Linked DNA regions of Elephas maximus indicus. Each later gene encodes a partner of the first gene's protein in a complex. Links are inferred from orthologs where the notes say so. Each region holds a gene or a part of one and is shown on either strand. Other genes may lie near its edges. The genes, in order: SCML2 and histone H2A.J.

Evidence for each region.
Region 2: the proteins of SCML2 (region 1) and histone H2A.J are in contact, whole or in part, in a crystal structure (PDB 4EDU), measured with the Homo sapiens proteins. The link is inferred for Elephas maximus indicus from reciprocal best matches to the Homo sapiens genes SCML2 and H2AJ. Residues at the interface, in NP_006080.1 of Homo sapiens: Asp182, Asn185, Tyr187, Leu188, Cys190, Phe206, Trp209, Phe213, Pro239, Pro240, Gly241; in NP_808760.1 of Homo sapiens: Leu35, Arg36, Lys37, Gly38.

Annotation. Positions count from the first base shown.
Region 1 is NC_064846.1:161,110,428-161,126,675, forward strand, and holds the start of SCML2 (sex comb on midleg-like protein 2), read left to right. Parts: upstream 1-10,253; 5' UTR 10,254-10,323; intron 10,324-10,535; exon of another isoform or gene 10,536-10,600; intron 10,601-10,969; exon of another isoform or gene 10,970-11,106; intron 11,107-16,248. UniProt on the Homo sapiens protein: Putative Polycomb group (PcG) protein. PcG proteins act by forming multiprotein complexes, which are required to maintain the transcriptionally repressive state of homeotic genes throughout development.
Region 2 is NC_064822.1:73,359,321-73,373,963, forward strand, and holds histone H2A.J, read left to right. Parts: upstream 1-8,089; 5' UTR 8,090-8,156; coding exon 8,157-8,546; 3' UTR 8,547-8,724; downstream 8,725-14,643. Other genes in the region: histone H4, read right to left, coding at 3,522-3,833. UniProt on the Homo sapiens protein: Core component of nucleosome. Nucleosomes wrap and compact DNA into chromatin, limiting DNA accessibility to the cellular machineries which require DNA as a template.

The DNA.
Region 1 (16,248 bases):
AGCGTTTCCTAGCCTGTGATCCAGATCTTTCTCCCACTGAGCCACTGGGTGGGTTGGAACCACCAAGCTTTTGGTTAGCAGCCTGGTGCTTAACTACGGTGCCACCCTCTTAAAATGAGGCTAACGACTGAGGAACTAAATTTTGTTGTTGTTACTGTGTGCCATCCAGTAGGTTCTGATTCACAGGGACCCTACAAGACAGAGTAGAACTGCCCCAAGGCTGTAACCTTTACGGAAGCAGACTGCCACATATTTCTTCCATGGAGTGGCTGGTGGGTTCAAACTGCCGACTTTCAGTTGACAGCTGAGCACTTAACCACTGCCACCACCAGGGTTATCTAAATTTTAAATTTTAATTAATCTAAATTCAAATAGCCACATGTGGCTAGTGACTACCATATGAGAAACCAGATTTAGAACATCCTTCAGGATAACTTGCTGAAAGCATTCTAGAATCATTTCAGCTTGTTCAATTGTGCTGATTTGTCAAACTTTTAATTTAGAAGACAGAGTGCTCATACAGTAAAAACTGTGGGTATACATTATTCCTGAGAGTCTCAATAAAGTTACGTTGTCTTTGTAGCACGCTTTCTAGGAAATTTTTATTTGTTTCAACTTCTGCAATTTGGCTTCTAAAGTTTGTTTCTCATTTACAGTTTTCAAAGTCATCAATATTTAAGAAAGGGAAATAGGATGACTCCTATTTATTGAGATATTTATTGTTGGAAAAAAATACACCCTAAAATAATCCTCAATGTCCAATTCAGAAACAAAACAAAAAAAACCAAACTCAGTGCTGTTGAGTTGATTCCGACTCATAATTCAGAAACAGTAAGACATATTTAGGACCACTGGCAACTCATTTTGCCAGGGATTTAAAATACTTAAGGTTGTTCATACAAAAAAAGTCTGCAGTCATTTCCTTAGAGAGCCCACCAGACAGCTGGCCCACCATGAACTGCCAAAATGTTTTATGAAAATCTAGAGCTTGCTTGTTATTTGTGGAAACTGGGCAGCAAATGGGCAGACGACAAGGACCTGATTGTTCATGACACTAACCCTTTAATGTGTTGTGTTGTACTTTGGAAGTTTGCGGACTTAGGCTTGGTGTATTTTGGTTTTTTTTTCCCCCTTTCCTAACTGACACTATATAATAAAAAAGGTTTGCACCCTGAGGGTTTGCACAAAGCACCCCACAAAACCTCAACTTTTTACCTTCTTTTCTCAGGCACCTAGGCTGATGGTCCCCACCATGGGAGGGGAGAGAGAAGCCATTGAGGGTACTATGTATTCAAGGTCAGCTGGACCCTGGTCCTTAGACCATGTGGCTGACTGACCCCCTCTCTAGATGCCTACAGGCAAGGTTTGGAAAGACAACATGCTGGGAGGTTGAGGTATGAAGAAGAGTTTGTTGGAATTTTCCAAAAACTAGAAGCTAAACAACTTCTTTAAGGGAGGAAAATGCTAAGTAAATTTCACGTTTGCTCGTCTAATTTCACTGTGTTCTGTATTCAAAGTTTAGAGAATTCTGAATGAAGGACTATTTTTCATTCATCTACATAAACCCATAAGAGTTTATTTATTCAACAAGTGAAAGCCTATTTGTGCCTATGATCAATGTGTTCCCTTCATTGATAGCACTGACAACCAAAATTGCTTGTTTATTTGTCTGCACACTGAATGCATCTGGCACAGGCCCTGGCTCAGTAGTGGTTTCAGTGAACACTTTCCTGCCCGAATGAGGAATGGATGGGCACTGAGTGTCATGCAGATGCATTACGATGTCAGGTGCTGGCTTTAGACGGGCAGTCTCAACTGGCCCCGGAGGTGCTTTGGGCTGGTGGGACTGCTCCCCATTCACTTCTAGAGTTCAGTACACTTTAATTCAATCACAATCCCAGAAAAGAGCAGAGTCAAATTGAACCCAGGCCCCCCATGATAAAACCCAAACCAAAATCAAACCCACTGCTGTCAAGTCGATTCCAACTCATAGCGACCCTGTAGGACAGAGTAGAACTGCCCCATAGGGTTTCCAAGTCTGTAAATCTTTACAGAAGCAGACTGACACAACTTTCTCCTGCAGAGAGGCTGGTGGGTTCAAACCACCAACCTGTAGATTAGCAGCCGAGCACATTAGCCACTGTGCCATCAGGGCCCCTGAACTAACAGCAGTGGTTCTCAAACTTTAACTTGCACCAGACTCACCTGGAGGACTTGTTAAAAACACAGATTGCTGGACCCTACCTTAGGGTTTCTGTTTCAGTAGGTCTGGGTGGTGGCCCAAGAATTTGCATTTTTGACAAGTTCCCAGGTGATACTGATGCTGTTGGTCTGGGGATCGCCCTTAGAGAACCACTGAACTAATGGATCTAGGCACTGAATATCAGCAGCTGTTAACACAAAATGAGAAACCACCAAGGGTGGTGACACAGCCTGAGTGAAAATATTATCAGGACTAAAGTGAGAGAGGCCACTCTTCAAGCTGGAGCTGAGATGGGAGGCCTAAGAGCCCCAGTCCAGGGAAGACAGGGGCTCAATGGGGAAGCGAATAGTGTGAGGTCCCAAAGAAGTGCAAGATGTAAACCAGCAGACATTATCAGAGGCATATCTAGGATATTCAACTACCCTGGGTGCATGGTGCCACTATGCACTTTCTGTTAACCCAATATGGCCCAACGTCCTTCCTCGAACATGGTAATGTGTTAATTAAAAGATTAACAAGCTTGACTTGTATTTTGAGCTGACATTATGGTAAAGATATCTAAAAGAGAGGTGTCAGATGGTTGGGCAGGGGTGCAATATCAGTGCTTGCCATAGGCGCCATTTTCTGCAGATACACTGCAGACCATACTGGGTTGATAGAAACTGCTCAGTGGCACCATGCGCCTAGGGCCAGTGCAATACCTGCTGTACCTGCCATACTCCAGTTATGCTTCTGCGAGCAAAGGGGCAGAAAGACACTGAATTGAACCAGTCAAAGAGTAAAGAACATTCCATGCTCCACAGGGCAAAAAGTGCTTTTTCCCATCTTTTAAGTTCCAACTCACCTTGATCTTTCAAGGCTAGGCAGGTGACCACTTCTACCTACCCTTTTACTTCTGTTCCTCCCATTTCCTAGTTCTCTTGAACTCACGCTCTTCTTCCTTCTGTCAGATGCCATTGCCCCGTTTTCATTATGTGTATTTTAGTGTGACTTTCTACTTTTCCAATCAATTTCTCTTGGTTGTTTGTTTTATTTTGTTTGTTTGTTTGTTTTTACTGAGGCAGAGGCAAATGACAAAACCGAACTGCCCAAATCTATAGAGTAAATGGGATTTAAAGAGCCTCTAAATAGGTTTGCTTTCCCAATCACCATGTTGGTTTACAAATTTGTATTTAGACAGAGAACCCAAAAGGGGAAAAGGGTCAATGGTATACCTAACAGTATCCCACACAGGTGAGAAGTAAAACCTGCCCTGGACTTTGAATAAAAAGTAAAGCTCTCATTATCAAGATGACCAAGATTTAATATAATTGGAGGCTGAACTACAGCCTTAATTAGAGAGATTCATTGCAAGGAGGAGGAGAAAATAATTGGAAGATAAAACAGCTTTAATCAAAAAGAACAGATTGTGAGAGAGCGGTACAGTGAAGTCGTCTGCAATGTTTGCTAAGAATGAGGGTGATGGTTCACAAACAGGAATGAATCTCAGAGATTTAAAGCAAAGTAAAAGAAGCCAGACACCAAAGGGAATGTGAGGTGAAGGATTAATTACCTTACATAATGTCATGTGGCCTTTGTCTTTGGTCCCTGAGAGACAACACTTGGGATTTCCTGAATAATTGAGATGACTTTATTATCTAAGACCTCCAGACAACACCTGAGGGTCTGTGCAACCGAGGGGGGCCGGTGGTGGACCGGCCAGGCCACAAAGACCACCAGGTGGCCTGATCTTGGCTGGCCTTGGTGGGATGCATAATTCAATCATCAAAGCTACACGAGACCCTAGTCATGCCTACGTAATGAGGCCCTAATAAAGGCTCTGGACATAGAAGTTCCAGGCTTCCTAGTTGGTGAAACACATCCATGCATGTGGGAGAGGAGCAGGTCCCTTTTTGGGACATGGAAGCTCCACGCTGGGGACTCTCCTAGACCTCACCCCATGTGTCTATTCATTTGTATCCTTTTTGCTGTAATAAAACTATAATTGTTAAACATAGCACTTTCCGCGAATGCTGAATTGTTCTAGTGAATTGAAGGAGTAGTGGTTATAGGGTCGCCATGAGTCAGAATTGACTCGACGGCACTGGGTTTTTTTTTTTTTTTTTTTTTTTTCAGTGGGAGCCAGCAGGTCAGAAGCAAGGGGGCTGGGAACCCCAGAGCTTGCAGCTGGCATCCTGAAGGGGTAGTGGGAACTCCCCCACACTTGTAGCCAGGAAGTCAGAAGTGTGGAGGTCATGTGGACAACCAAGCTTGTGGCTGGCATCTGTGGTCTTGGGCAGAACTGGCAGTCTGGAGGACTGTGCCCTTTAACTTGTGAGGTCTGACCTAGCTCCAGGTGGTTAGGATCAGAGGAAGAAGTGGTGCACGGGCAGCTGGTGTCAGAAGTAGAACAGAAGTAAAAAGCAGGGATTTCTTATACCCTCATAGTCAGTGTCAGGAAAAAAGTGGATATTTGATTATATTTGAATTTATCCACTCAGGGAACATAACTGTATGAATCCATTTGTAAGATGTCCACGAACTGGCAAAACTAATTTATAGTGGTTACCTGTGTGGGGTGGGGGACAGGGGCACAGTGAAGGGTCCAGGGGCCTTGACTGGGAGGCATCAAATGGAATTTTCTGGCATGCTGGAAATATCTATACCTTGATATAGGTGTGGGTACATGGATATTGTGTTAGTCATCTAGTGCTGCCATAACAGAAATACCAAAAGTGGATGGCTTTACCAAAAAGAAATTCATTTTCTCACAGTCTAGTTGGGATTGGGAGTAGGTTACAAGTCCAAATTCAGGGCGTCGGCTCTGGAGGAAGGTCCTTGTCCTCAATCTTCCCGTGGTTTAGGAGCTTCTCAGACGCAGGGACCCCGGGTCCAGAGGACGGGCTCTGCTCCTAGTGCTGCTTTCTTGGTTGTATGAGGTCCCCAGCTCTGCTTGCTTCTCTTTCATCTCTTTAGAGATAAAAGGTGGTGCAGGCCACACCCCAGGGAAACTCCCTTTACCTTGGATCGAAGAGAAGACCTGAGTAAGGGTGGGGTTACAATCCCCCCCCAATCCTCTCAACGTAAAATTACAATCACAAAATGGAAGACAACCATACGATACTGGGAATCATGGCCTTACCAAGTTGATACACACATTTTTGAGGGGACATAACTCAATCCATGACAGGTGTATACATATGTAAAAATTAATTGAGCTGTACATTTATGACTTGTGCATTTTATGGTATATAGGTTAAACCTCAATTGAGGAAAGAGAAAATGAAGCCATACTTATTGAGATGGCCTTGTGGAATTGTTCTCCCAGCTGGCCCACTGTCTGGCTCTGGCCCTCATCACTCTCCCTGTGACCATGGACTCCAGACTGCTCTGACTGCTTCCAGCCTCTGTCCACTCCTGCCCACACTCTCCAGGGCTGTTGTTGCAGGACCAGTGGCCTCCTGTCAGTGCCTGCCCCGCCACTGCAGAAGCCAGGGGTCCATTAGGAGAAGGAAAGAGAGCCCTAGAAGCTACAGCAGCAGCTAGAGGGATTGCTAGGATTTGCAACTTTATCTACAGCTTCTTTTCTGCTTGAGAGCCTTCAATGGCTCCCCATCATCCACAGAATGGAGTTCAAATACCTTAGCATGGCATACAAAGTCCTCTCTAAATCGACCCCTTCTTATTTGTTTTCAGCACAGTGAATCTTTCACTTTTCAAAGACCATGCAGTGACTTTTCATTAATTTGTGTAAATGCCTTTCCTCACGAGCTTCCATATTTGCTTGGCAAACTCCACAATTTCTCACTTCTCAGTTCAAACGCCACTTCTTTAGGCCTCTTAAGAAATAAGCACACGGGGAACTAATGATTGTGGAAGGCTGATTATTAACCAAACATTATTTTCTGTATCCTTCACTTTTAGACATTAACTCTAAGTTAATTTTATCAACTTTTAGCTCACAGTATTATAGTGACTTGTTTATAGATGACAGGCTGTGAAACCGTTAGGTGCTATAGACACAGTCCCTCAGGTCCATGAATTCTCAAAGGAGTGACAAAAATATTTGAGACCCCTACCTACACCCTTAGTTGATTGGCTCAAATATGAAAAGAAAGCCATTTCAATAATGGTTCCAGTAGGAACAAAAGGTGCACTCATATGGGATTTTGAACAGAATTTCATGGATTACTTACTAAGGTGTGGGAAGTTTAAGAGAACTAACAAGGGATGCTGAAGGAGCCCAGGGATCAGTAACAGCTGGAATTGCTACCCCCACCCCTCCATCCTGAAGACCCAGTGAGAACTGATGCTGGGAAGGAAGAGACCCTGCCAGGAACTATCTTTGTAGAGGACCCTGCCACCGGCCCAACTTCAGTCCTAGGCAGGAAGGGAGTGGGGAAGAAATACGCCTCCCTCTCTCTCCCCTGGATTCCCATCTCTCCAGCTGTTGCAGGCCCTTTGGCCAAACCAGTTGGCCAAAGAGCCAGGGTGATGCACTCCTTGAGGGTCAGCCCCCTTCTCACCCCCCACTCCCAATCCCTGCCACAGGACAGAGTGAGGCGAAAGGTGTGGAAGGGGTGAAGGTTCTAATGGAGAATCACCAGCATAAAAACTGTAAAATCAAAACTAATAAATGTCCAAAGAACATTATGTCAGCTGGCCAACTGCAGCTCCACTCATATTATTTTATATGGCTACTTTTTAAAATGCTTGATGTGATTGAGGGTGTGGCAAGAGATCCTAGGTCCTTGGAAGATGAAAACACCCACCTACCTACCCAACCACCCATCCACCCATCCATCCATCCATCCATCAATCCATCCATCTCTCTAGTCATATCTCTCTCTCTCCTCTTTGGAGCTGGTGTAAACTCCTTGCATATTCAAATTGTCTTATTCGTCTTACTATCCCCGCCTCTAGCAGAAAAGCAACACCCAACAGGTATTCATTAAACGTCTGGGGTTTAAATGAAGGGCTGAGTGAATGTAATAATGGTCAAGCGCAGTATGTAATGTTCATTGAAGTTATGCCAGTTTTTGCAGCATATGAAATACTTGGCTTGGCCAAAGTCAACTTAGATTTCATTTGTTTGCTTGGTAAAAAACTAATATATGTTTTTAAAAAAAGTGCAGGGATTTGTTGAGGAAAGATCAAGTGGTTTTCTTTTAGTTAGATTTGAATAGCACTTGCTCATCTGTGAAGTAAGTGTGACAGATTATCCCCATTTTAAAGATGAAAAAGCTGAGGCATGGAAAGACTCTAAAGAAATATAGTTAGGCAGACTTGGAATTCAAGACAAGAGCTCAGCTCTCCTGAGGCAGTTGGGTCCTGCTTTCACTACAATACATTGCTTTCCTGTTTAGACTAGCTGCTCTTTCTTAATATTACAAATTTCGCCTCTCAGTATTTTTCCAGGGGAATTATTATTTTGATGTTAGGGCAAAAAAAGGTTTATTGTAACCAACAATAGCGATACTAATTTAAATCTTACTGATATGTGCTCTTGGTTTAATGGGGGGGGGAAGGCAATTTGTAAGAAGCAAAGATCTGAAGACGTTTGTAAATCTAGCTACTGTTTTAATCAATTCATTGATTATTTAATACCTACTTTTTTTACTATGTGGATTTTCTCTGCCAGTCGTAGGCTTCTGTGTTTAGGAGAAAGTATCTCTCAGGAAGTCGGAAAACTAGAGGGAGCCTTCGCTAATGATAAAATGTTAACTTTAACTATGCAAATAACATTGTTTCAAGAAAAGCCCTGTCTGGATGGAGGACTACATTAAACTTGCTTATCCAGGAAAGGAGCTAATCTTTCCATTCTGATTGACTAATATGAAACTCTAAAGAAAGGTACAAAAGGGAGCAATCAAATACACTTGAGAGACAGGAGTATTTTGCATCAGGCTTGGACTGGGAAGGGTGATATGTCTTCTTCAAGCCTGTCCTGGTTTTTGGCCGAGTCAGGAAACTCCAGGAGCAAATTGACAGGAATAAATCTGAGGCATGAAAAATCAGTCACGAAAATTTGGATTTTACCAACCTTACTCCTTACTCTTTCAGTCCAAAGGCTCCCCTTATTTTCACGTTCTCTAGGCTAAATTAATTGAACATCATAATGATAGGTATTCATTCATTCATTCAACAAATATTTATCAAATTCCTACCATGTACAAGATATTTCCAAATAATGGAACAGGGATGTTATTATGATCTCTCCTGACATTAACAAAAAACAGTCTCAAATTTATTTTTGGCAAAGGGGGAAAAGCAGAATATAAGTAAATTAGAGTTATTATTGAATGTTTATGTACACAGTATATGATAAAAGCAGAAGACTGAACACAAGCATGGCACAGATAAAGAAGGGTTCAATTATATGTTCAAAAGCTGACTCTGCCACTTGTTTGTTCTGTAATAATCAAGCTCCTCACCTGCAAAATGGGAATAAGAATACCTACCTCATAGGAACATTGTGACTGTTGGAAATTATTTATATAAAGAGACTAGCATGATTTGCCGCACATGGTAGGTGTTCATTAAATGGCAGCTATTGTTATCATTATCAACAACTCATATTTAATATATATGAAAGAGTTCCACTTTTATAAATGCTTTGGTGAAGGCAGCCACTGAGAAGATATTGTTCTTACACAGAGAATTCAGGTTACATTTTTAGAGCGAGGGCTTCAGTCATTTCATAATAAAAACAGGAACATGGGAAGTAGAGGAGGCATCAGAGCATCAGTGACAGGGGCAATTTTGCAATCAGAGTATTTCTACAATTTAATAACGGGGTACATACCTGCATGTAAAAGAGGTAAAAAGCAATAACCCAAATGTTTCATATAGAGAATGTAGAGATGAACCTCAAATATTTTCTTTGCATTAGAATTAGAAAGACCAAACCAAAAAACAAAACCCACTGTGTCCATTCTGACTCATAGTGACCTTATAGGACAGAAGAGAACTGCCCCACAGGGTTTCTAAGGCTGTAGTCTTTACTGAAGCCAACTGCAAGCCGACTGCCACATCTTTACCGCAGCTTTTGGGTTGGTACTGCCAACCTTTTGGTCAGCAGCTGAGCTCTTAACCACTGCAACACCAGGGCTCCTCATCAGAAAGACCAAACCCGTTGCCTTGGAGTCGATTCCGACTCATAGCAACCCTATAGAACAGGGTAGAGAACAGGGTAGAACTGCCCCCTAGGGTTTCCCAGGAGCTGCTGGTGGATTGGAACTGCAGTCAAGCTTTTAACTACTGCACCTTAGTATGGGCAACAGTGGGCTGAGGGGACTTAAATTCTTAATTAGTCCCCTCAGCCCACTGTTGCCCATACTAAGGGCTTGTGTAGATTAAAACCCTGACGTTATCTTTCTGGTTTAAAAAAAAAATCAAACCTTCATCTTAGACCATTTCAACATTTTCTACGTGATATGTATTACATAATTGATATGATCAAATCTCTCTTTAATATTTGCATATCATTGGCCTAGTTTTTTCTATTTTTGCCTGTTTACTTGAATTTTGCATTAACATGGATTTATTCATGTTTTAGAGGATTCAAGAAAATCAGAGCAATTGGATTTTGCGCTATTTGCCAATGTTTAGATACAATAAAAGGCATTTGGCTTTTAATACCGCAAAAGTTGCATATGAAAATCATTTTATTTGGCACTGTTAAAAATGGATATATTCCGCGGATTTTAAAAAAACTTTTCAGGTTCTGATTTCTGAATTTTGATTTTAAAAGTACATCATGCCCTATGTATTAAGTTAACAAGATCATTGATGTAAAACTTACGCCCAACTTTTCAAAGCGCTGAAGAGAGAAAGAGCAGGCCTGCCAGTCATACACAGCATATTGTATTGTTTTGAAATAAAAGTTTTAAATCCGCTTAGGTATACTCAACCTCACAGCGAGGGACGGGCTGTTTTTCTTCCATTTTCTGTTTACTACATTTTGTGCTGAGAGATTCGTGGGCCCTTATAGGGCTACTTTTACACCTCCTCCCCATCCGTGCGATCTTCACCTGCGCAACTGGCCTCGGAACCTAGTTCCTTCCCCTCCCGGGGCGAGGGGGGATCGGGCAGAGGGGACTCCAAAAGGGACTCTGGAGGACGCTCCCGAGCACCCTCAAGTAAGTGAGCAATTTGTTTCCTCTCCGTGGGTCAATCTCCAGTTCCCGTTAGCTCCAGTCTGGGTTTAGAGGCACGACTAAAGCCAGAAAATGGAGCTGGGAGGGGAATGCGTGGCAAAAACCCATGGAAAAAAAGTTGTCTCAAGGAATCTGCTGCAGCTCACGAAGGAGTGGCTTTGCTCTGGCTGCCTTAACGCACTGCTTTTTCCTGCTCATCGAACTTGCAGGATGAGTTCCCAGGAAAGCGCTGGCTTTGCTTTTTGGATGCGTGGCCAGGGTGGGTGGTGGCCGGGAGTCGAAGGCGATGGCGAAGGGGAGCGAGCTCCCGGGATGGACACTTAACGCGGACCCCGGCGTCCCGCTCGGGGGCTCACCACGGTCTGGGATACAAGGACTGTGACTGGCTTCGGGGGGGGGCGGGGAGACGAGGGAAGAATGCCGAGGACTTCCCCGGCCCGCCGCCCGCGCCCAGAGGCGCCCGCAGGGACTTTGCCGCGGGCGGCGGGCCGCTCGGCCCAGGGCTTCCGGCCGAGGCTCGGCACGCGGTGGCGGTCGCAGGGCGTGCTCGCGGCCACCGCAGGGCACGCGGGCCAGCCGGGCAGGCGGGGGCGGGGCGGCGGTGGCGGTTGCGGGGCATGCGCGGCTCCGCGCGCGGCTTCTCAAATATGGCGGCGGCGGTGTGAAGCCCGGTACCGGCTCGCGCGACCGCTGTGACAATTTCGTTCCTCGGGCCGACTAGAGCCGAGGTGCGTGGCGACTCCGGGCTCCGAGAGGAGCAGAGAGGTAGAGCTGCGGTGCCCGGGCCCTGGCCGTTGTCTGTGGGCGGGCGGCGGGGCGTCCTCGGCGGCGCGTCCCGCGCGAGCAACGCCCCCTCGCCGCCCCGCGGGGGTCCCGCTGCAGCTCGGCCCCGCAGCCCCTCGGCCCACCCTGCGCGGTCTCCTCCCCGGGGCTGGGCTCGCCCCCGGCCCTCGTAGTGCTCTCGGCGGGCGCCCCTCGGCCGCTCCGCGCCGCCCCTCAGGTCCTCCCGGGGCTCCTGTCGCTGGGCGCGGGCCCATCCCGCCTGCGGCGGTTTTGCGGCGGCCCCTGTCCCCGAGCGCGGACAGCGCCCCACTGGGCATCCCTTCGGCCCGGGTGGGAGGGACCGGGCTCGGGCCCCGGCTGCGCGGGGGGCGGCCTGGGCTGCGGAGCGGGGATGCCTTTGCGGGCTCTCGGCAGAGGCTGTCCTGGGCCCCTTCCGGGGACTCGTGAGACAACTTTTGGAGTTTGGGAGGGAAATGTCAGCCCGGAAGGATGCGCTTGCGGCGGAGCGCGGGCCGGGTCGCGATGCCAGGTGCGAACCCAGGACTCGGCCCGGGCTCCCGGGGTGGGGGTGCCTGTGTCTCGCTCCCCGGGGGAAGCGGGAGGGAGAGGAGGGCGCGCCCCGCGTGGGGGCGGGAAGAGGGTGCCGATTCTCCGGAGAAGCTGCGAGGCGCCAGAGGTCGCCGTTCCCTCGCGGCCGGCGGGGCCGAGTTCGTGGACCGTCGCTGCCCTCATTTAGAAACAGCTGCCGCATGGTTACACACCTTTCGCACTTTTTCATGGGACTAGTTGTTTGTGACCTTGGTGGCGTAGTGGTTAAGTGCTATGGCTGCTCACCTTAAGGTCGGCAGTTCGAGTCCACCAGGCTTGGAAACCCTATGGGGCAGTTCTACTCTGTCCTTTAGGGTCGCTGTGAGTCGGAATTGGCTCGACGACAGTGGGTTTGGTTTTGGTTTTTTGGTAGTGCTTTGTGAAAGGAGCCCTGGTGGCGCAGTGGTTAAGAGCTGTCTGTTAGCTGAAAGGTTGCAACCCACCCGCGGACTCCGCTCCTGTGAAGATTCACAGCCTAGGAAACCCTATGGGGGCAGTTCTACTCTCTTCTGTGGGGTCCCCATGAGTCAGCATCCACTCATGGCACACAACAACAAAAACAGCATTGGTTTGTTTAGAGCCAGATGGAGAACGGCTTTTCCAATTTTACGGATTTGTGTGTCGAGGTTATACTTAGCTTCAGGTGCTCAGCTGTAATTCAGCCTCTTTTTTTAAATATGTTTGGGATGTACAGGTATTTCTTTCCAAGTTCCCATTGAGGACCATTGATTTCTTTTTAAAAGGTTGTAAAACGTTTGCCATACATCCCAAAGTATGATTACCCTTAGAAATTGGCCTCTAATTTGAAGACTTAGAAGATTAATATTTAAGATGTGCCTGTGAGCTTAGGACAATATCTCTAGAAAGGGAATGGGTCGGTTAGTAGGGAGGAAACTGAGGCAAGGGAAAGTCAGTAACTTGCTTATGATCATAAGACTTAACAACTTACCGAGGATCGCTTTCTTCCCCGAAAGAACTGTAGATACTACTACATTTTTAATGCCCCCAGAGCTATTAATATTTACGTTTTCAGGAAGCAGGTATTATAAAAAGGCAACATTTATGGAGTACAACTACCTATAACAAGAAATTATGTTGTAATAATACTTCATAAATGCACATTTAATTTTTTTCGATAATGATAGTTGGGAATGTTCTTTAATAATGACAATTTTGCCTTCCTTGCCATTCCTTTTGTTACTTACTCATTAAACAAGGTATTTCCAAGGCCGAATTTTCTTTCAGGTTGTTTGTGGTTTTGTATATTTAATGGGAGGAATGTGAAAAGAAACTTTTGGACAGGAGTCCAGTTGGGATTTTTTGTTGTTGTTGCTTTGACTTGTTTAGGAGAAAAGAAAATTACAATTTAAGAAAAGGACATGCACACCTATGTGTACCTTTGTGCATTCTGCGAGTACAAAATAACTGATTGAGACATATATAGCAGAGATGTGGAGCAATGTGGAGGTACCATGTAATACTTGGCCTACAGAAGACAATTTTTAAAAGAAGGACTGGACAGTCAGTAATCAGTCTTCTCTAGAGTGGGAGACACAACTTAGATTCAAAGTTGGAGGCAAAAGATAGAGCTCTATGGTGACTGCACTTTGCTCAATTTCATTGCGAAGGTGTGATACCATTATTTAATCAGAAAACCAATATCCCCTCCCAGTTAAAGGGTGAGATAGAGGTGGGAGTTAAGGAATGGGGTCCCTTCTTAATGAGAGAAATAGCCTAAAATAGCATATCTACCCAAGAAGATGTAAGAAGTTTGGAGTGCCTCTTTATTCATGTCCCCTCCTTTTGTATTGTGGTCAAATATATATGATGAAAAATCTTCCATTTTAATGATTTTTAAGTGTACAATTCAGTGATATTAGTTACATTCACCATGTTGTGCAACCATCACCACTATCCATTTCCAGAAGTTTTTTTTATCACCCCAAACAAACTCAGAACCCTTCAGCAATAACTTCCCATTCCCCCCATTCCTTAGTAAACCACTAATAGACTTTTTTTCTCTATGCATTTGCCTGTTCTAGATAGTGGGATCATACAAAAGTTGTCTTTTTGTGTCCAGCATTTCACTCAGCATAATGTTTTAAGGTTCACCCATGTCATAGTATGTATCAGAACGTCATTTCTCTTTATGGCTGCATATTCAGTTCTCTTTATATTCCATTGTAGGTTTATACCACATTTTGTTATCCGTTCATCCATTGACGGACACTTGGGTTGTTTCCACCTTTTGGTTATTGTGAATAATGCTGCCATGAACATCGGTGTACAAATATCTGTTTGAGTCCCTTTTTTAAGTCTTGGTTATAAACTGATATGGATTGAATTGTGCCCCCCCCATGTGTGTTGGAATCCTAACCCCTATACCCTCAGATGTAATGTAACATAATCACTTTCTATAATGCAACCTAATGTTATATTAATGATGCCATATCCAATTGAGATTTTTGAGAAAGGAGTGTGCTTATGAACACTCACCTGATGCCTTGTATTCGTTTTGCATTGCTTTATTTATAACCTCCAAAACAGTCCGATAGAATTAAAAAAAAAAAAAACCCAGAACAAAGGCAAACACTATTTAAAATGGCTTTGAAATTTTTTAATCATGCAAACTTACAAACTTCTTAAGAGTGTATGTCTGTTTCCCCCAGAGAACCTGATTTGTTTTGGAAATGGTATTTTGGAAAAAAAGATGAATGTCATTGAACTGCTTTATATACGAGGATGCTTTAAAGCTGATGTCATAATAAGTACAAAGAACATTGGAGTCAGTTTTAAAGAGGTGGTATCAGTTTTTCTCATGAGGCAGCTGGTCAGTCCTTTTGATTTATTGTTCAATCAACACATCTTTATTAAGTGCCTGTACTGTCTATAGTACGGGGCTCATTGCAGTTCAGAGTACATTTAATCAGAGACTACTGTGTGCTCGGCACAGCGCTAGTTTCTGGGTGTTTAAGGCTTCCCACCCAGTAGTTTATTCCTAAAAAATTTAAGGTTACAGCTAAGAAAATGAATAAGACTGGAACATTTAAAAGACAAACTCAACGAGTCAGTATTTTTGTCATAATTCTCTAAACAAAATTCTAGATGTTACTGTAAATTACTTCTGACTTGTCTAATGTTAACTTTGTGCCTTATTTGTTCTGATTATATAAAGCTATACATTTTAACGAGAGCTTATTTTCTGGGACAAATAGATAACATATTGTTTACCCTAGAGAGGGAAAATGAGTTACTGGTATAAATTGAAACAAGTATGTATCCTGGAGAGTGGCTGTTTTTTAATGCTAAGCAACTTTATTTCCTATGACTAAGGATTTTACAATGTAACTAGATTTTGACTGACTGAATTTTTTAGAGCTCTTTTTTTCAAAATGTGTCAGAAATCTCTCTGAACTCAAAAATAACAAATAAGGGTTATGATTGTCAGCCATAAGCCAGATGTGACTCTCATTTTCTTTTGGGTTTGTTCCTTTTTAGTTGCCTGCCTGTTCCTCCCAGATGCTTCCTATCGCCCCTCTTCCTGCCCCTGTTCCCTTTGCTGTTGGTGTCTGTTTCCGCATCAGTGAAATGGTCAGGGTAATCCTGTGCTGCCTCACTGTGAAATAACTGATGATGGTAAAGTGCCTTGAAAAGGCTGAGTAAATACCAAGTCTTTTGAATGAAAACGGCATATGTATGTTCAGTTTAAGGAAGATTCAAGTTCCAATTTCAGTTGGAGCTCCTGGTGGGTGGGTGGTGGGTGGCCTTGCATATTTATCTTTGGGTTAGTAGAAATGACTGTTAACCAGTTAAGTTTAGTAACTGGAATACCCATGGATGTTGGTGATCCTGTGCTATTTGAATTATTAGTCACCTCTAGTCCTTTTTTGCCAGATTACCCTGTCTGCCGCTTTTTCCCCATTATGCCAGCTCTCTTCTCATTCCAGTTGTGACTAGAAATCTGAAGTCACCTTCTCTATTAGTTCCGCCTCCCTGGGAGCCTCATTGTCTCCTCAGAGTCATATTCCTGATTTTTAGGATATACAACATGTGAACAAAGTGAGTTCTGCCAGCCCTCAAAGTTAGAGCCTCGAGGCTATGGTGCAAAGATTAGTCTGGCATTGCCAAGAAATATTTTGTGCTCCTTTGGAGTGAGCAAATCAAGCACTCCTGAGATTTTTAGAAACATTATTAATGTCTGAGAATTACTACCTCAGAGTAGCTCACAATTTCAAGTGATTGTTGATTCCAGGAATCAAAAACCTGGAAACTTCGAAAATGGCAAATGATGGTGATTTTGAAAGAAAGAGTTTACTCTTCCCTGGTTTGGGGGTCTTATTATTTATGATCCCTTTATCTTGGGGAATAAATGAAAGAAACCGCTGCTGTTTATATTAGATTAAAATTGGCTGGTATATTTTGCTGGTTAAGTTCTCCAGGCTCTAACTAGCTTTGGCTTTGGTAACTAAGCATAGCTATGCCTTTGCTGTAGCGATAACATCTCATTTAAAAAAGAGAACAGAGGTGGTGGTTCTT
Region 2 (14,643 bases), on another chromosome or scaffold:
CCCTCAAGTATAGTATGTCCAAAGGTAGACTAGCCAAGGCTGACACAGTGGCTTTATAATTGCATCAATGTTCAGGCTTCCTTTTATCTTTTTGTTCCAATACCCTTAACATTTGACTTCAATCTTCAGTCCCATCTCATGAGTGCTACAGGCCATTATTACTTCTACCTTCCAAGCAGAAAAAGAGGAAGAGGGAACTACAAAATTTCTTTCATCTCAGCTACTCCCACTTTTAGGAAGGTTACCTAGAAGCCCCATTCAACAAATCTACCCATATACCACAGAACTCAGCCACATGGCCACTCCTGTCAGCATTCAGAAAACAAACAAACTTGGTGCCATCGAGTCGGTTCCGACTCATAGTGACCCTATAGGACACAGAAGAACTGTCCCATATGGTTTCCAAGCACTGCCTGGTGGATTCAAACTGCTGACCTTTTGGTTAGCAGCCATAGCTCTTAACCACCACACCACCAAGGTTTCCCTGTCAGCATCAAAGCCTGGGAAATACAATTTTTTACCAAATGCATAACCTTGTCCAACAAAATCTGAGTTCCGATATCGAGAGCCGAGGGGAGAATGGTAATAAGTGGGTTACCAGCAGTGTTTGTTACAAAGGGTGTTTTGATAAAACCAGTAGAAATAAGAAAAAGAAAGAAAAACAGAAAAAGTAATATGCAAGGAACAAAATCATGTTTAGATTTATTGAACTAAATATGAAGGGACTGAATTTTCCTATTAAAAGATGAAAAGTGTCAGATTAAGTAAAAACAAAACACTGTATGTTGCTTAGAAACAATTATAACTAAATAATTTTATAAAAAGATTAAGCAGCGCCTTCCTTCAGCTTTTTCATATTATCCTTCAGTGAGTAAACAAGAATTTGGAGTCAGTGATAATGAGGATGATGCCGAAATGTAGATATTTAATTAAAATATATAAAGTATCTCCTTTTTATATTTATTATGGAAAATTCAACAGTTTAGTAAATTATAGGGTTAATATAACTTATCTCTAAAATAATTTGTTTTATCACATTTCATAGGTCTCATAAAAATGTAATATTCCAAGACTTGTAGAACATTTATTGATACATATTTTTTATAATCTTCAAGATTACAAAGCTTCTGCTTGTATTTACCCAAATTTACTCACTCTTTCAACAAATATTAAGGCATAGGAGTGTACCAGACTCTGCTCTTTAAGTATCTTCGTTTCTCACGTGTATTAAATAAATTGGAGTTTCTGGCACTGTCTCACTGTCCTAAAAACTGAATTAACACAGTGTCATGAATAACCTTTGGTCTATATGGAATATAAAGGAGTCCTGGTAGTGCAGTGGTTAAGCGTTTGGCTGCTAACCCAAAGGTTGGTGGTTTGAAACCACCAGCCACTTCAAGAGGGGAGAGATGTGGCAGTCTGCTTCCATAAAGATTACAGTTTTGCAAACCCTATGAGACAGTTCTACTGTGTCCTATAGGGTCGCTAAGAGTCGGAACGAACTCAAAAGGTTTGGTTTTGGTTTATATGGAATAGAAGAAAGTACTTAGAAGCGAAATGCCAGCAAACAGGAACAAGAGCCTCCATGCCAGAAGCAGTGGAGTATAGTGGTTAGGGTTAATGCAAGGACTGCAGAAAATAACAGGGCTCTGTTCAAACCCTGGCTCCAGATCTTTAATCCTCTTATCAGCTTCCTCATCTGTCAAGTGGAAATTAATAAGTACTTCATAATTTTGCCAGAGAATCAAATGCAATGGAATACAATGTGTTTCAACGTGCCTGACACACAGTTACGAAAAAATCCGTGGCCCATAGGGTTTCCAAGGAGCAGCTTGGTGGATTCCAACTGCCGACTTTTTGGTTAGCTGCCGAGCTCTTAACCACTGTGCCACCAGGGTACCCGCACACAATAAGCACTCAATAAACAGCAGCCATTACCAGTATAATGACAGAGACCGGTTGAGGGAACACAAGAAACTTTTCTCTGGTTAGAAAACATTTGATGTCAAAAAACTAGGACATTCTCACAATGAGACTTGCACTGCTGTTTTTAAGGCTGGGACCCTAGCATACCCTAGCATAGTAACTTCACGATGTTTACAAAAGCCAGAATTGGAGTGATTAGTTAATCCTACAACGGATTGCACCGCAATTTAAGGTTCTAAGTCCTTTTCTCAATTGTCTCGTACAAAGAGGTTAGGTGCGACAGAGCCAGGAGTAGAGCAAAGCCAATCATGCCGACTATGGTTCTTGCTTCACCTCACTGGTGTCCCCTGGCGGCCTCGGGGAAGCGCCCTCAAGTGGCTGCCTCCGCGCCCCATTTTACTCAGGTCTCCGGGCAGCCCCGCCGCAGGATCACTGGGCAGCAACCTGCGACTGCACAGCTCTCTTGCCCACACCATGTTCACTGAATTTACTAGGAGCAACACCACGGCCCACCTCCCTTCTAGAGGCCCGCCGGCAGCTATGAAAATAGCCTTTACTCGGAAACCAGGGCTTATTTCCCGGCTGCAAGAGGGTCATTTAAGACTCCGTCTCCTGGGTTGCTAGCAGCACTGCCTTAATGATGGGCAGAGCGCCACCCTGAGCAGGGGCCTCCCAGCTGTTAAGTTTCTCGCCGTGGTACATGGCGAAGTGCAGGTAGAGAGGATCCTTCTTTTCTTGCCATCGAGCCGCGCTGCCCGCCAACACCAGGGTCTCCGCTATCGGGAACGCTGGCGCCCAGACGCATATCCACTGGCGCAGCAGCCTTTGCGCAGCTGGCCCACCAGGAACTGCGGGAGCCCGCGAGCTCTCACCTGGCCTTGGACTTCGCCTGCACTTAGCTGCCTTGCTTCCCGCGTCTAGATTTGCTCATCTCTCATTCAAAACATAAGCGAAGAAACAATATATTCCACAGTCGGTAGGAGACTACACCACGCCACATTAAGACTGCATTTAGTGTTTTATGATTTGTCTGTAGAGGTGTTTTCCTATTGGAGGCTGTGACATCCCTGGCTCCGGTGTCTCACTGGAGAAGAACCGCCTCCTGACGCGTAGCCTTTCCCTCGAATTGGAAGTGGAAGTTGGCTAGTCCTAATTTACATAGAAGCCACTATGTAAGGAGGTGCTCCACTGCGTAAAGGATGGTTACTATTTCTAAATCTGTGGATTCAGTAAGTGGAGATGATCTATTCCCCTAGACAGGATCTAAAGACAGAGCCTGGCGTCTGTATTTTGATGTACAAAAAAAAGCAGAGTCACTACTGCACTGCACCGCACTTCCAAGCTATGACGCTGGGAGCCAGGACTGCTGCATTCACGCCTTTTCTCCCCAGCTCCAAACCCAAGAGGAAGCAACCCCTGTAAATTTCGACAGTAAATCTTCTGTCGATGGTAACCGGAACGCTGCATGTATACCACGTTTCTGCATTCACCACATGCATATACTTGCAGGGTAAATACATTACAACTCTTTTTTTGAAATTGTGGGGGCCCTAAAAAGGGCCTTTTGGAGTCTGGACGAAAGCCGCTAACACACCTCAGCCTCCGAAGCCGTACAGGGTACGGCCCTGGCGCTTCAAAGCGTATACCACATCCATAGCCGTGACTGTCTTGCGCTTGGCGTGCTCAGTGTAAGTCACTGAATCACGGATCACATTCTCCAGAAAGACTTTGAGCACACCCCGAGTTTCCTCGTAGATGAGCCCGGAGATGCGCTTGACACCGCCGCGGCGAGCGAGACGCCGAATGGCAGGCTTCGTAATTCCCTGAATGTTGTCCCGCAAGACTTTACGGTGGCGCTTGGCACCTCCTTTCCCCAGGCCTTTTCCACCTTTGCCGCGACCCGACATTTCTAGCAGTAACTACCTACCTACGTCCAAAACCGAAGGCCACTGCAAGAAAATGAGCCGCTAACCTGGATTTATAGTCCCTTGTAGCGGACCTGTTTGGAAACCTCAAAAAAGTGGGTGGAGCTCTCCGCCCCACCTCCGGAGACTTTTTTTTTTCCCTACAATTGATTGATTCGTTTCTATCTTGCACAGTTAGTTCAGTAAGCAATAGGCAGTAAGCAAAACCAGACTGATTTTTTGTGTCTTTCTCGAAAAAACTTTCTGATATTTTTTACCATAAATTTGAAGAAAGGCACAATAGGGTAACGTTTAGAAAAAATGAGCTTGTAGTAGAACTTTTATATTGGCTTTTCTCAACGCTTAAAAAATTATGTAGGCCAGATCCCCTGCTTTTTCTAATTGTATATTTTTTCAAAAGGAATTCTTAGTACCGTTCGCGGACTAACGTGAAAATCAAGGTATAGGAGCAAAGGACGCGTTACATCTTATTATATGTCAGAGCGATTACAGCCTCCCACTCTTAGGTCTTTGTTTTTAGTCATTGGTGGGGGAGAGGAAACGTTTTAATGGGTCTTTTTTTTTTTTTTTTTTTCCTCTTTGTGGCCCTACGGGGAAATTTAATAAGAATTATTTCAGTAGGTCCAGCCTTACTCAGCTTATTCCTGCCTCGTCCCTTTCCTCTGGGCAATTTGCAGATTTTTCTGGCTTTTCTCCCTTTGAAGCTTGTATTTGCCTTTCAACCAAATAGCTCTATGATTTAACTGATTTTTTTTTTTTCAGTCCAATTCGAGATTGTCAACTTCCATTTAAAAATGTTAAGTTATTTTAAAATAACAGATGCCACACTTGTGGTTTCGAATAGTGCCATACTGCAAATCCCAATCAGGAAGCTCTAACCAGTTTCTTGAAGAGAATTCCTGGGGTGGGGTCGTGGGGGGGTGGGGGGGACGGATCACTGCTCTTGGGAGTTTCTTTTTTAAATAATTTTATTGTGCTTTAAGTGCAAGTTTACAAATCAAATCAGTCTCTCACATATAAACTTACATACCCCTTACTCCATACTCCCACTTACTCTCCCCCTAATGAGTCAGCCTGCTTCCTCCTTCCAGTCTCTCCTTTCGTGCCAATTTTGCCAGTTTCTAACCCTCTCTACCCTCCTACCCTCCTATCTCCTCTCCAGACAGGAGATGCCAACACAGTCTCAAGTGTCCACCTGATACAAGTAGCTCACTCTTCATCAGCCTCTCTCTCCAACCCATTGTCCAGTCCCTTCCATGTCTGATGAGTTGTCTTCGGGAATGGTTCCTGTCCTGGGCCAACAGAAGGTTTGAGACCATGATGCCGGGATTCCTCTAGTCTCAGTCAGACCATTAAGTCTGGTCTTTTTATGAGAATTTGGGGTCTGCATCCCACTGTTCTCTTGCTCCCTTAGGGGTTCTCTGTTGTGTTTCCTGTCAGGGCAGTCATCAGTTGTGGCCTGGCACCGTCTAGTTCTTCTGGTGTCAGGATGATGTGAGCCTCTAGTTCATGTGGCTCTTTCTGTCTCTTGGGCTCATAGTTATCGTGTGACCTTGGTGTTCTTCATTCTCCTTTGATCCAGGTGGGTTGAGACCAATTGATGCATCTTAGATGGCCGCTTGTTAGCATTTAAGAATCTTGGGAGTTTTTATTGCACTAAAAAGCAGCACTACTTAGAAGTTAATTCATAATTTTTCCCCAGGTACTTAACATCTTCAAGAATATTTTAGTAAATTGGGCTCTCTGCTGCTAGTTTTGAAAGATGAGCCTTTCCAGCAGGAAAGCTTTGTGGAAAATGTTTACACATATAAATGCTTACAGTTTGCCCTTCTTTCAATCCTGCCCATCTCCATAAACCAAAAAGTACTTTTTTGTTAAAGATGAATTAAAAGAGCCCCAGGAACACTTTGTATGGCTGAAAAAAAAAAAAAAATCTTGAATAGTCAAACTGTATTACATGATTTTAATCCTTGATTCAGAATGAAAAAAAAGTATCACATCTCGAAGAGATCAGGATTCTTGTAACAGTAAAACAGGCTGATTTATTTGTATTTACTTTTCTTCAAAGTTAACATCAGAATATTTTCAAGTTAGAAATCCTTCTTGCTTACACGAGTGAAAGGAAAAATCATTCCCAAAATAATAATAAACAACTCTCTGTTAAGAATTTTCCAGGATATAGGCAAAAATGTAAGTCCGCTCACAGAACTCATTCCAGGAATATCTTTTTAAAAACCGCAGGAGAGGTTTGTATGTTAATTTATCCAGTATAACTAAGTCATTGGATGTTTACTAATGTACTTAACCTTCAGACGGCTTTAGGACGTGGAAAGGTTAAATAATTTATCCAGGTCAGCTGGTAAGTGGTAGAGTCAGGTTTTGAACCCAGGCAGTCTGGCTCCAGGATGACTGCCTTAACCATTACAACACACTGCTCTTCTGCTTCAAAGACATTTACTGAGTTTCTACCATGGGTTAATCATCGAGTGTCCTTAGGCACTAAGGACATACGCATAAAAATTGAAAATGTTATTTCAAGGAAATCAAATCTGTATTAAGATAGCGAAAAGGTAATTTTGTTTCACTTTTGATTTGAATACCCAGACCCACTGCCGTGGAGTGGATTCCGACTCATAGCGGACCCCATAGGACAGAGTAGAACTGCCCCATAGAGTTTCCAAGGAGGGCCTGGTGGAATGGAACTGCCGACTTTTTGGTTTGCAGCCGCAGCACTTAAGCACTATGCCACCAGGGTTTCCTTAAATTTGAATGGATACTATAATTCAAACAAAATTATTTCAATAAGTAAATGTTTAACATTACATCACGTCAGCAGTATAATTGTATAATTGTGAAAAACCCCCCAAGAAACCAAACCCAGTGCCCTCGAGTCGATTCCCACTCATGGCGACCCTACAGGACAGCATAGAGCTGTCCCATAGAGTTTCCAAGAAGTGTCTGGCGGATTTGAGCTGCCAACCCTTTGGTTAGCAGCCATAGCACTTAACCACTATGCCACCAGGATTTCCAATTGTGAAAAACATTGAGGTAAAAGAAACGTTAGTAGAAAGTAATTTCTGGATAAAGAAATCAGTTTGCTATGAATTTGCAATTTAAGTATATAAGGACAGTTGCTGCCGTTTTTTACTTTAGTCTTTTCACGAGTTCTGAGCGCCACAAGGGCTATAAGGGAACAGGGGAAGGAGAACACCAAAGGCCCTGGAAAGTTTTCAGTGACAGTATCTGCTGAGCCGCCCTGACCTACACAGGGCAAGCCCAACCCAAGACTTTCAGCCTCAGCGCCTGAGTTGCACCTGAGGCCTCTCACTGGAATCCAAAGACTCTTTTCAGGCCCATACCTCAAAGAAAAAAGATGGTAAGTTTTGGCCAGGCGATTTTGTTCCTGCTGCTTGTGCAGAAAGCGTTCATGTCTAGTCTAGCATTGTAGTTTGGGAGACCTTAGAAGTGAAGATGGGCAGCCTGAGAGCTGCAGAACTTTGAGGGGAGGCCAGTGTCAGCCAGTCTAGTTAAGAAAGTTCAAAATGCCAGTTATTGACGAAACCTTTTTTGGAGGCCTGCTCCCCACGCTGTTTGGCTAACAGGGGCCGATTAGGTTTGGCAGGAACAAGGCTCTTATGTAAAGGAACAGGCAACCTAACCTGTATTAAAAAAAAAAAAAAAAATTTTTTTTTTTTTTATTATTAGGCAGACTGAATTCGGTAGGGAGATTGTGATTTCGCTTGAGGAGAGTACTGCCTCCAAGAAGCGCGGTGTGGAGTTACCTAACTACCTTGCTGTATGCTGACTTGAATGAGAAAATGCAACTAGGGAGCATAGCAACGTCTACCGCTCTGTGCGACCTCAACTGCTTGAGCACTTGTACTTATGGATGCAGTAGCTCTTCTTCGGGATTCTTCTATTTTCAACCATGCTTCCTTAGTTCTTTAGTCTTTTTTCCTGGGAGCGAGCGTGGATGCTGAAACCTCAGTACCTATTAAAACCAACAGGCTTGCAGACACCCAGCATTTGGGTCCTGAACGTTCATATGGGCGGCTATGTAAATAAGGACTAGAAGATTCCTCTTTCTATTGGACAGAGCTGGAGAAGGCGGCTAATTGGGAGCGGAGCCTGCCTGCCTGTCATTGGTCACCGGAGCCGAGTATTGGCGGCGCCCAATGGGAGCTGGCTGCCTAGTGGTAGCAAAAAAAAGTAAAGGAAGTTCCGGGGTGGCGCGCTGCATTCTCGTATCCGGAACGAGAGCGCTGTCTTTTCCTTCCTTCCTGGAGTTTTAGGTGCGAGGGGAGCATGTCCGGTCGCGGAAAGCAGGGCGGCAAAGTGCGGGCAAAGGCCAAGTCCCGGTCCTCCCGCGCGGGCCTGCAGTTCCCGGTGGGCCGAGTGCACAGGCTGCTGCGCAAAGGGAACTACGCGGAGCGAGTAGGCGCTGGGGCGCCCGTGTACCTGGCGGCGGTGTTGGAGTACCTGACGGCGGAGATCCTAGAGTTGGCCGGCAACGCCGCGCGTGACAACAAGAAAACCAGGATAATCCCTCGCCACCTACAGCTAGCCATTCGCAACGACGAGGAGCTAAACAAGCTGCTGGGGAAAGTGACCATCGCTCAGGGCGGCGTCCTGCCCAACATCCAGGCCGTGCTGCTGCCCAAGAAGACGGAGAGTCAGAAGACGAAGAGCAAGTGACCCCAGCGCTACCATGGGGGAGCAAAGGGGGCTGGCTTCCCCAGCAAAGGCTCTTTTCGCGTCCGCCCGCAGTGTCTTTGGATGTGCTGGGTGTTAAGAAGAGTTGGCGCGATCTAGTGGGGAGGTGGGAGGCGAGGACCCTGCCCGGGTCGGGGACCAATAAAGTCGGTGAAAATCATGTGGTCGAGAGAGCTGTGTAGTCGTGGGGCGGCCGGGAAACCTTTAGAGCAGGTAATGGTGGGTCGGCCTGATCCACCCACTGGCTGCTTTGGTTCGCAGGTGACCCTTGAGGCGTTATGGCTTGGTAAGGGAGACCAGAAGGACCCACTGGCCTGGAGGTGGGCAGGGTAGGGCTCTCCTTGTTCATCTTAAGGCAAAAGAGAGGCAGAAATAGGTGTGCATTCGGGGAGTGGGGGCGGGGAATGGGGTGGGTGCATTATTATTATGCTCCCTGGCCAGAGCTTTCGCTGTCCTGTGTGTCTGTGGGTTGGTTGTTCAGGATCCATTTCTAGGAAGGGAACCAAGGGGCCGATCCGATCTCGGGGAAGAAGTTGTTTCTTCTGCCATTCTCACCCTCCATACTTTTCAAAAGGTGGAGTGATTTTTCTGCCTTCACAGGGTGGCTCTGATGACGTGGTATCAATTTAAGAAAATTTTCTTAGCCTGATAGCTGTGGCGTTTTCAGGTTTTGGATTTCAGATACTTACGTTTGGTTCACGTTTCTTTAAAATGAAGAAAATATTCAGTAGTAGTATGTGTAATGCAGAAGCCTGAGTCATTCGGTTGGAAATTCGTTCCCCTGGTATTCATGTTGCATAACAGTGCAGCATCTGTAGTCCTGAGTTACATAGCCTGTGAGCTTTTAAAATGATGTTCGCAAGTTTCTAACTTCACTGTGGTCTTGTCTTCATCATATCAAATTTCTCTAGACATGTAATCGGTTTGATTTTGCTTTGTAAGAAAAAGAATCCCTTGCTTTAAGGGGTTAGTACTCAACACATAGCCTTCTTGAAATCCCATATGTTCCACCCCTGCTTGAAGTAATGACCTCTTTCCAACAATGCCTCTATAAGAGTTCCATGGTTCACAGGCACGGCATTGGTTTAATATGTGAGGAGAACAGGAGGCCGAATGAGTTAACTACAGGGAAAAATGCATTTCAGATCAGGAATCCACATTTAGAAGTTAAGACACTAGCAATCCTATTCTGCCCCTGGTTGGTAGTTCATTTCACCTGCTCAGCAAGCTCCATCCTTGCCCACAGGGCCAGTAAAAAAAGATCCCAGTTTAGATTTCATGTGTTTGGGTTCATTTTTCCTATGAGTTAGGGTTGAAGTCTCTTTGCAAAATATATATACATATATACTTATATATGTATATGTATGCTTTGGTTTTTTGTTTTTTATGTATGCTATATCTTCAGCCCTCAGCACTTACCTGCCTCAAGGTTCAATCAGCCTCTTACCATTTCTATTTTTGAGGATTGTTCTTTTCACCTGGTTAATTTCTTTGCAGTTGAAAATGCATACTTTCTACAAAATCAGTTCATCTTGTGATCTTTGATGAACAAACGGGTAATTCTTGTCATGTAACATTGTTCATTTACAAGGCCAGTATTTCTTTGAGTGTGAGACCACATGGAAGAAGACGTAGGACTAATAAATGATGAATACTGAATTCTGATTTTCAGTAGATTTATGAATCCATAGTTTTATTTACATACGTAGGCACCCCTTCCTGTGGAGGTAAGCCATTCAGCACGGCAGACTCTAACTTGGTCAGGATTTGTTTGATCTGTTTTTCCTGCGGGACCGGTCTTGCCTTTGTGTCTCGGAAAACGGGTCTGCTCAGTTTTCTCTACTTGGAATCACAGGGTTTGCCAGGCTCCACCATTAGTGATGACTGGCATACTATATGCAAACTCCTTACAAAGTAGTACTGAAAGTATAGGGCATCCCACCCCTTCTAATTGTTAAGAGGCTTCGACATGGTGCACAAGAGGTCCAGCTGGGTTCTCTGCTCCTTAATAGTTGTGAAATTACGGAAAAGTGATTCAACCTCTTTAAACTTGTTTCATATATATAATGGGTATAATAATAGAGTTTACCTCAGATGGTTTTAGGGAGGATTCAATGAGATGCTGTAAACGAGGGCACTAAGTTTCCTGTGTAGAAAAGTTCAGTTAGTAGTTGTTAGCTTCTGTAGGGGTTCTGGTGGCTCAGTTGTTAAATGTTTGGCAGCTAACAAAAGGTTGGCAGTTTGAATCCACCGGGAGCTTGTTGGAAACCCTGAGGGGCAGTTGTACTCTGTCCTATAGGGTCGCTATGAGTCGGAATCCACTCCATGGCAATGGGTCTGTAGAGTTGGCGTCAACAAATGCCAACTTTATGTATAACAGAAAAAAATGTTGCTCGGTCCTGTGCCATCGTCATGATTAAAACTGGATTTAGAGTGAGTAGCAGTAGTTATGGAAAGTGCTGAAATAGTAAGCATATGGCGTTCTAGGAGTCCTGTGACCTTTGTGATAATAAACCATAAAAATAAGTCTGGTGACTTTTTTTTACTAATTACAGGCAATTCACAATCTATAACAGAAAAGGGTAATAAATGGTTATAGCTTGTGAACTTGAATTTGCATTTTTCCTCCGAAGACACCTGGTTTGAAGTTAATGCCTTCTTAAGTGCACCCACTCAGATTAGAAATGGAACCTGTATGTTCCACAATTGATTGGATGTATATTATGTGTTACACTTGTGACTAGTAACCAGCTGTCAAGAAACTCAAGTCTAATGTGGAATACAGACTCTGAAAGATGATTAAATGTAACAGGCTATGTGTAAAGAAAGATACTCAGGGTGTTATAGGAACCGGTATTAGGGGCACCTGTGTCACTCAGCCTGGTGGGGACACTGGTGGGGGGAGTGACACCTGAAATGGGTCTAGGAGTAAAAGCCTGACAGGATGGGTATTCTGGGTAGACAGGCAGCCAGTGCACAGGGCTTGGGATGGGGAGTTGGGGGGATGGGGAGCCAGGTAGGGGAAAGTCAAAAACAATACCCACAGCTGGATGTGTGTCTGAATCTAGGGGGGAAGGTCAGGCCTAGAGATCAGGATTTGGGAGTCATGATTAAAAATAGCCAGATAAAATCATCCAGAAAGAATGTGTAGAATGAAAATAGCCACAGCTGAAGAGACTGAGGGTCTTCAAGATTTAAGCGATGGTGGAGGGAGAGGACTCCCAAGGACGATGAGAGAGGGAGAGGACTCAGGCTGAAGGACACTGAGAGAGTGTCAAGGAGTTTTGCGGTTACATATTCATAAAACAAACACAGGAAATTTAGAATCTTTAAATCGTGAGAAATTTGATTTGACCCTGACCTTTTTTTTTTTTTTTTTTGTAAATCAGTTAATGTTTAGTTTCCCAAGAGACAGAAACAGAGAGGAACAATAATTAAATAAATACAAATGTGCATCTATAAATACATACATAAATAAAAGGAAGCAAGCTTCAGGCAAATATGAAATTATCACCGTAAGCCTTATTTTCTCTGCAAGGAGAAGAAAGAAAGTTCCAGGTGTAGAAAAACAGGTTTTAACCTTACATATACAAAAGAGGAATGACAGGTTTAGACAGTAACTTGGGTCCTTGATAAATTTATCAAGCCATTCAGTTGAAAAGCTAGCACTTAGTAATCCTTGAATTATGGAAACAAAGGAAGAATGAGTCCTATGTTAAAGAAAATCTGTCTTTTAGGCAGACAAGACAATCTGCATATGAGGGCTTCTTTGCTTCCTGTTTTAAAGTACTTCTTAAATGAACTATCTTGTTCACGTCAAAAGCCCCCCAAATGCCACTGCAATTCCAAATTGTTCCAGGTGAAATTGTGCTTATCAGAGAGGCAAGCGTACAGGTTAGTGTTATAATGAGACAATATGAAGGAAGTAGTGTTTGGCCTTGAAGAGTCTCGATTTTAGATTTTGAAGACTGGGAGAAATTAAATGGCCTGTAAAGATGGTGCTTCTGTAACTTCTAATCTTCAGAATTTGTCATCACTGATCATTGAGCGGAAACCCTGGCAGCATAGTGGTTAAGAGCTATGGCTGCTAACCAAGAGGTCAGCAGTTCAAATCCACCAGGCACTCCTTAGAAACCGTATGAGGCAGTTCTCTGTCCTACAGCGTCGCTATGAGTTGGAATGGACTCGATGGCAACGAGTTGGATCATTGAGCTTGAGTAAACCTTTTGGTTCCCGGTAGATGAAATTAAACAGACTAGTTCTCAGGGACACAAAGACTGAAGGAGACGGTTTGGAAGTAGTGACTGGAAGCAAGGTTTGGCCTAAGTTGCTGGCTCAGGGAGACCCGAACTCCTCAACCCCCAGGGGGCAGTTTTTATCTGACCTGTGTCCATCTACTCTCCCTATAGACTTTCCCTCTTATAGACAACACTCTGGCATTAGACAAGTTGACAGGCCATAGGAGCAGGGGATAGAGGCTAAAAGCAATTTTTAAAAGAACAGCACAAATCTGATCAGGTAACCAAAAAGATCCCAAGAGATCTTATTCCTGGAGAAACAAAATAAGCTCAACACTAAAGTGCTTCAACATATAGGAACTCAATTGAACAAGTTGAGTTTACTGCTTTTTGCAGCAAGGGAGAACACAGCATGGAGAAGTGTGGGGTGTCTCAGACAGTGTTAGAAATGACTTAGAGGATTTGGGTATGCATGTGTCGATTTTGGGACTTTACTGTGGATTACATGCTGTCAGGAAGTAGGGCAAGTTTATGACAACATCTTAATAAATCTTAACTACAAGGCACAAGGAATGAAGTGACACTAAAGCTGTAATTGGTAAATACGTTAATGCATATTAGCAAGGAGAGGAGACTGTTGGGTCATTTTTGTGGTTTGGACAATGCTCAGGTTTTGTTTAGGCTTGATTACAGAGTGACGTTTCTTTTTTATTTTGACCTTTCACATTCCGAGTGACCTCGTCTGCTGTTGGTGTTCTCTGTAATTTTTTTGTGGTCAGCAGAACACCATAGCATACTTCTGATTGTCAGGCGGACTCTTAGCAACACCGAGGCCTAGCTGGTAGTACTAGGCCAATTGCTAACTGCCACAGGCTGCTTTTCCCTTTCTCAGTAGCTAAAGAAATAATGCGACACTCAAAAGAAGAGTGGCTCAGCAGAAGACGCAGACAAAGAGTCTAAGACAAGTGTTGGCAGTGTTCAAACTCCATGCAGAAGAGGGAGTGACTGTCTTTACATATTTCAGTCCTAGATTTATTCACTTTAAACATCTGGATCCTCTAAGAGCATCCGCTTGTTTTCATGTTCTTCAAGGAACTTCCTATCTTGAATTTATCTTCTTGTGTATGTCTTCATATAGAGTAAGAATGTTCTGATTTCTTTAGAATGGTATTTCATGTTTCTAATAATTATGTTTGAAGTTATAGTTAAGTTATTCTGATTTGAACTCAAATCAGGAAAAAAAAACTCAGCCCAATAAAAATCTAGGCTTTTACTCATAACAGAGTCTTGGTTTTTTCATGCATAAAAGCGAGATAATAGTATCTGTTTCCTAGTGTGAAGCACTTAGTAGTGTATAGTAAAAGCTCAATAGATTAATTCTATTGTTATGATTATTATCTTTGATTTCCTGCCTCATTTTTTCCCTTTTGTGCTCTCCTGTCTTTCTCATTCAATGTTTATGGTACAGCAACAACCTGCCTCCTGAGCTTCATACTTCACCTACCTATTTTACATTTCCAAGAGATTATCTCACATGATCTCAACCTTCCTTCCCCTTTCTTCCCCTCTCCTGCCTCCAGTTACTGAGTCTGGCTGCCTAGGTTTGAATTTCTGCTCTCCTGTTAAAAAAAAAAAATTTTTTTTTTTGGAAACCCTGGTGGCGTAGTGGTTAAGTGCTACGGCTGCTAACCAAAAAGTCGGCAGTTTGTATCCACCAGGTGCTCCTTGGAAACTCTACGGGGCAGTTCTACTCTGTCCTATAGGGTCGCTGTGAGTCGGAATCGACTTGACGGCAGTGGGTTTAGTTTGGTGTGGTTTACTAATTACATAATCAGACGCAA